2 linked regions of the Daphnia pulex genome follow. The protein of the gene in region 1 interacts with the protein of each later gene in a pairwise test. Links are inferred from orthologs where the notes say so. Each region holds a gene or a part of one and is shown on either strand. Other genes may lie near its edges.

Region 1 (3,015 bases):
CTTTCTTTAGCTTCGAAAAGTGACAAAATTGGGTAATTTGTATCCGTTCTGTTTCTTTTTTTCTTCTGCGGAACAGAATCGCTGTCAAATGGAACACGTACGAACGTGACGGCGGCGGCGGAGAGAGACGGACGGGCGTACGACGTTCATCCACCTGACTCGACCAACAATCAACGGGTGGAAGTTGTTCAGTCGCTCTCTCCTCGTCCTAAATCACTTGGAAGTAAGTGAGATGACATCGCAATTGCTACGGAATAATATAATAACCAAATATTATCATTTTTCACTTTCTCTTATTCCATTCGTCGTCGGCAGCCGGGACGTGGAAAGCCATCAAAATCTGGAACGATCCGGTGGAAGCAACATCATCATCTACGGCTAAAAGAGCATCTTCACCTGAACGAGTTGTCGCTTCTTCTTCTTCCGCAAGTCGGCCCGGAGACTCGTCCATCTTGATTACGTTTCTCTTTTTACCCGCCTTTATGTTGTTCGTAACGCGACTGATTGAAGAGCTCAGCATTTCACCCAAATAACTCAATTTAGTTTTTTTTTAAAAGCTTATTTTATTTCTTAACTATTCGCATCTACCTTAAAAAGTGATACCTAAAATTAACGCATGATTTACACGCATACATTATATTTTTTTCCGGATACCATAACAATAATGTCATAATATTGTACATATATTATACGTCGCTAGCTGCTGCTGTTGAATTGAGGGAGACATATATTGTAAAATGATTGCTTGTCAAATTCACTCGTGTGTGTCCATCTGACGTATCCTTCTTTCTGGAGTTTGACAGCAGATGTTTGATGTTGTCCTCGTTGGTGGTAATAATGAGGGTCCTATATAGACACACATCCGAAAAAAGAAAAAACAGATCTAGTACAATACAAACATTTCAGCTATGTACACACAAGACATTTTTAGAAATTTATTTCTCTCACCAGAACCAGCAGCCAGTGGTCATTGTCGACGCAACAAGTACCGAGGACTCCTTTAGAAGAAGCATCGTGATCACCGCCCATCATAATTGGTCGGGCGGATGATTTGGCAAAGTGTTCTTCCAACTTTGGAAAAATGTCTGTCATTGCATTTTCACCAGAAGGACAATGGAGAATTTTGCAGGGAACATCAAAAAGCTTGTCAATTACTAAACACACCTGTGAAATAGAAAATATGGTCAGGGAATTCAAATTAGATTTCAAATCTGAAACATTATTATATATTAATGTGGAATTGTGCCAACATACTTCAAAACTTCCAATCCATTCTCTTGATCCTACAAAAGATTTCTTCTTATCTTCAATGGCAACTAGTGTTTCTTGAATTTCCTTGAGACTTGGAACTTGTCCAGCTTTTTTACCTGGCTGCTGCTGGAGTGAAAGGTAGGAGGCAATGGTCTGGAGAGTTCTGTATCCACAACCCCATCCCTGCGTATGTAACATCATGTAATGAGGTCAAAGAAAAATTCAAGAGTTTACTCCCACACTGCATAATATGATGATGCCTCACCACATCATCAAAACCATCGCATTTGTAATGATAATACTGATAATCGTTCGTGATGATGTGGGTCGTCCTTTGGGGATTCGAGGTTGGATCGCTCAATCCTAAATGTACGTTCGACAGCAAATTCATTTCTGAGAAAACTCGATTTGATAAGCTTGCCAAAACGTGAGGAAATTACGTATTCACTTTACGTTCGATTCAAACAGTTGGGGTTGTGTGTGTGAAACGAAGGAAAACAACTCAAACGAATTCGTCTGCTATAAACTACACCGTCGATAGTTTCTAGTTCAAAAATCCGATACGTTTGGTTAATGAACCCATGAACCTATAACTTTATACACGAAAGAGAAAGTCCGTGCAGCACACAAAAAATAACTTCCAAATAGAAACTGAAAACTCAACAATATGCGCTCATCTGATATACATAAGTGCACACAGCATACGCATACAAATCCGCTGTTAAATAAAAATAATGACGCAGCAAATATATTCAAAGAACTTGATTTTCTTTGGAAGTGTTGAACTCGAAATAGTTTGGTAAGTTTCTAATTCGCTAGAGTGAACAAAAATAAACCTGTTGTACACAATAAATTAGATAAAAACGATATAAAATAACTCTCGAATTGAGAATGGTAACAAATGTACTTTATTTGGCTACACATGGCAAATCTTAGTTGACATATTTCTCAGTGATAACATTTGGTGGCTTCTCAGAACAGAAGTAGTTTAGTAAGCTCCTAATTTTAGTTACAGCATCACTTGGGTCTACTGTGCAAATTCATGTGTCTCTGCAGAACATTCCGGTGATGAAAGGGTGCCCGACAGATTGGACAGATAAACTGAGGTTCCACGCCACATTCGTATTTCACATGCCGCAATAAAGTCTGTTTCCATTTGTACGTTCGGCCGCATCTAGGACACGAATGACGACCAGGTCCAGGATCGGGATCGTGATGATGAAGATGGTGATTATCGACTGACCCGTTGTGGACCGACCCCCAGGCCATGTGTTCGACCAGTAAATCTAGAAAATAGCAGAACAGGTTAGAAACAAAGTAAGTTGTAACCGCAAATACTAATTGGTGTCAACCCATTTCAAATTTTGAGCCCGCCTCCCACCCCCTGGTTGGTGGGAAATATAGAAGGGAAAACGACGACAATGATCTAGCGTTCCGGAAATGTGTTCGACCAGGTAATGCTTAAGCCGAGAACGTTTCCCACAGAGTGGGCATTTAAATTTTGCCGTAACACCACATTGAATTGGTCGGCTAATTCCAGTTCCCATATGGGTGTGACACATAATGACTGTCATAATTTTGCGCTACCTTTTCTGTCCTCTTTCTAAAGAAAATAAGTTTACTAATTTGTTTCGGAATTTACCTTGACCAGATGAATGAAGTTCTTCTGCAGACAGCCGAGATGGTCCAGGATGGTGCAGGTGATTGTTATGATGGTTATTGACATTGTTGACTCCGCAATGCTGAAATAAATCTAGTTCGTCG
Region 2 (3,803 bases), on another chromosome or scaffold:
CATCTTTTTTCATTATTTTCTCTCCATTTTTCAATAGGATAATTAACGAACCATTCCAACAGCTGGATGGCTTGCGGGGATCAACCGGAAATAAAAAAGGAAAAAAACAATTGAATGGCTTCTCTTCTTCTTCTTAGACTTTCAGCGTCATAATCATATCCAATGGAAACGTAAAATTAATTAAAAATCATAATAATAATTTTCCCATTTTTTTTTTCTTTTGTGTCCCTAAACCCAAAACTCTTTAATTTGTTTTCTCGACGTCTTTATTTTCGTCTTTAATCAGTTTTTGAGTGTTTTTGTGATCGTTGCTCTCATCAGATAATTGAGCTTTCTTCGTGCGTCGATTACGTCATAGCTTGTTTTCCTCCCCCCCATCTCGTCTGTATCCGTGCCAATGTCTTTTTCTCAATATTTTGCCTCTATTTCTTCAAAACTTTCGAAACAACAAAAAAAGGGCGCAAAAATTAAAAATAATAAAACGAAAAAAAAAATTACATCATTGGAAAAACAATTTGATAAACTTTTATTTCAGATTTTTTCTTTTAGTTTAATTTTTTTTTTGTTTAAGTTTTTAGATGCGATTACCGACGCGGTCGCGAGGGATCAGCCTCAATTCCGAGCCGTGTTTGAGGAAGACATTACCTTTAAATGGGTGGACCAGGGATCAAATGTTATTTCCAAAAGGCCATAAAATAAAAATAAAAAAGGAGAGAAAAAGGTTAAAAGGCAATCGGCGTAAATTGTTATGTTTTTCACACACGAAACTGACCGGCAGTTTGTTGTGGATTGATGCCAATTCCGTCGTCGGTGATGATGGCCGACGTGGCCGGATCGACTTTGAATTCTTCGGCCGAGAATTTGAGCACGGCCGTGAAAGGCGTGGCTTCCGGAACGCTCAGCCTAAAGAAATAAAATAAAATAATTCATCCGGTTAATAGACCAAACAAAAAAAAATTTTAAATTTTAATAGCTGATGTATTCAAACTATTATTTTGACTTTAATGACCATTAGTTACAAAAAGGGAGTAGAAAAAAGTTTCGGTTGTACAAAGGAGCGAACGACGGAATGGCTCGGAGGTCGTTCGGTGAATATTCGTTATTTTTAATTGGGGGTCTTGATCGATAATCGCTGCTCCACTTCCATCCAGATGGAGCAGAGGCCGGCCAACTGTTTCTGACGATCGAGGAACTGGCGAGCTTCCGAGGTCACGTGATCCTCATTAAACCCAATGCAAAGAGGAGGAGGAGTGCAGAGGCTTTGCATGTGACGGACCAATTGATCGAGCGAGAACCACAGACCCCGAAAGCGGCTGTCGCTGGAAGATTGGCCTACTCCGCCATGGTCGTCATCATCTCCGGGCCAACTCCAAACGTGGTCCTGGCTGTAATAGACGGGAATCAAATGGCTGGCCAGCAGGCCCAGTATGTCCAGCCAAGAGTGGAGGAAATCGGGGCTCATTTCGCACACCTTGCGGCTCAGCACTACCGGGACGGCCAACAGGGCGCTGATCGTAGCAGACGGGCGGCCACCACCTAGACCACCCGGGGCGCAATTTTCCAGCCAATTGCGGGCACGAGTTTCAATGGCTTGAATCATCAGCTGGCCCAGTCTGACCTCGGGGAGCGTCCGACCTTCGCAAGTCAAACTGAAGACTGTCAGCAGCAATTCCGTCGTCTGCACGGATTTCAGTAACGGATCCAATTTGGCTTCCAGGATTACAGGATTGAGATCTCGCAGCAAGTCCTCCTTCATGATCAGGGCCTTCATCACAGAAACGGTCTGGCTGTCCTTCCCCGATTGGATCAAGCTGATGGCACTCTCATACAGGGACTTCCTCTCTACAGCACTCGAGCAGATGGCCTGGAACTTCTCTGGAGGGAAGACATTGCTCATGGCCTTCATGACCCAGAGCATTGACTCTTCCGTGATGTCTGGGTTGCGAAGGAACTCTTCCAGCAGCAGCAGAGGGGCTATCCTCAGGTTGGCACGTTGGAAGACAGAGTGCTTCCCCGTTGTTTCACCGATCCTGACCAGCTCCTCCTCCAGCTCTTGGATGTGACCTGATTTGGCCAGGGAATCGTGCATGTCCTGGCAGTACTTGGCCCAGTTGAATGCCTTCTCTGTGTTTTCCAAAGTCCATGACACACTGACGGCCGCTTGTGGCAGAATGTCCACAAGGAAAACCCGACAACGATCGACCATTTCGCCGACGGACGGCATATTGTTTCAAAACGAGAGCTAAACCAAAAGTTTTCGGTGGCAACTTACACTTTGAAAGGGAGCTTCGGATCGGACGTCAACGTGATCTTGAAAGTGACTTTACCGCTGCCGCTGCATAATAGAAAATGTTAATAAAAATTTGAAAAATAAAATTAGAATTGCCATTTTGATTACCTCATTTTGAGTATATATATTTATAAACAGAATAAAATGAGAAAATGTTCTTCGACACCAGTCGTCAACTTGACAGCTGTGAGCTGTTGGCGAGAAACAGGTTGTCAAACGACATTGCCAAATTTCTATAATTCCAATTTTCCCCCAAATCTCTTTCAATTATTTCTAGAAAATCCCTTTCAAATATATCCAGTTAAATCTGAATGATTTCAACACGCATAAAAAAACTATTGTTTCAATAGATTACTTTTATTTACTTTTGGCCTGGGGGTAGAAAGAAGACCAATTCGGTTACAAAATAAAACTGGGCATATAAAAGACAAATAATCAACTTTTTCGGTGCAAAAGATTCTAAATCTCGACTATATTTTTCCTCCAGAGAGAGAGAGTTGAGCCTTCCATAAATCTCGGAAAAACCCAGAAGAAAAAAGGTAAATAGTGCGAGAGCATCGCGGTATTAGATGTATAAGAAAAAAGGGTCGTTGTATTAAACTTTTGTGCCGCATATAGCACAGCTAGCTGTGAATATATAAAAGTGTGTGCTGTGATGTGTGTACAAAAGGAGCCCCGGCATGTCGTTGTAGATGTTGGCTCCTGTGTGCATGTGTGTGTGCTCTTAAACCAAGGATTTACGCGTCCGAGAGTGGCCCGTCTAAGTGCTGATGCATACATATAGAAAAGGCCTACAGCGGCAGCAGCAGCATTTGGGGAAAAAAATAAAAAAACTTTTTTCTTTTTATAATTCCAACATGGAAAATATAAGAGGACATGCAAATCGGAACCCAAACAAAAAATAAAATATATTTAAATTCCATTTTTTTGTTTTTTATATTTTATTCCTTAGATATTTTCCATCTTTCATGTCGACTTAATCCGCTCAAATGCAGTTTGTTACGTATTATATTTTCGGCTCTTTGTACATAGACATACATCTGTCGAGTGTTACGTATTACGGACTTCCGCTGCTGCTGGCCTTTCTTTGTTTTTTGTTTCTTTCAATGGATAAAATCTAAAAAGCTAAAACGAATATGTATAGCCTATAACAAAAAGGATGTGTGCTGGGCCACCCTCCCAGCACCCGATTTCCTATAGTCGAGAAAAGACACTTTGCCACTTTGGATCAAGTCGAAAAAGAGACAAGAATAAGAATACATAAAAAAGGCGAGGGATGCTGTACACATAAGCTGAACAACGATGTTGTTTAGGTTATTCATGTCGAGAAAAATATAGGCTAGATACATCCACCAGCACAGCATCAACACTCTGCATGTAAATATACAAAAGAGACGTTATAAATGTGTGTATGAAAGTTGCGCTATATTATATAGGCCCATGCAGCACGACATTCGATTCTTTCCGGTGCTCGATATTATATACACAATGTATAACTTAGGTCTACTAACAG

What was found. The genes of interacting proteins can lie anywhere in the genome.
Region 2: the proteins of ufm1-specific protease 1-like (region 1) and ubiquitin-fold modifier 1 interact in binary tests that used the Drosophila melanogaster proteins (3 or more experiments, as listed by UniProt). The link is inferred for Daphnia pulex from reciprocal best matches to the Drosophila melanogaster genes Ufsp1 and Ufm1.

What each region holds. Positions count from the first base shown.
Region 1 is NC_060025.1:7,120,228-7,123,242, forward strand, and holds ufm1-specific protease 1-like, read right to left. Parts: upstream 1,769-3,015; 5' UTR 1,643-1,768; coding exon 1,517-1,642; intron 1,435-1,516; coding exon 1,255-1,434; intron 1,165-1,254; coding exon 949-1,164; intron 914-948; exon of another isoform or gene 847-913; coding exon 697-846; 3' UTR 621-696; downstream 1-620. Other genes in the region: uncharacterized protein LOC124203074, read left to right, coding at 77-223, 316-533; longitudinals lacking protein, isoforms F/I/K/T-like, read right to left, coding at 2,269-2,537, 2,894-3,015. UniProt on the Drosophila melanogaster protein: Thiol protease which recognizes and hydrolyzes the peptide bond at the C-terminal Gly of UFM1, a ubiquitin-like modifier protein bound to a number of target proteins.
Region 2 is NC_060024.1:5,730,253-5,734,055, reverse strand, and holds ubiquitin-fold modifier 1, read right to left. Parts: upstream 2,512-3,803; 5' UTR 2,404-2,511; coding exon 2,399-2,403; intron 2,336-2,398; coding exon 2,273-2,335; intron 904-2,272; coding exon 773-903; intron 646-772; coding exon 575-645; 3' UTR 510-574; downstream 1-509. Other genes in the region: coronin-7-like, read left to right, coding at 38-46. UniProt on the Drosophila melanogaster protein: Ubiquitin-like modifier which can be covalently attached via an isopeptide bond to substrate proteins as a monomer or a lysine-linked polymer.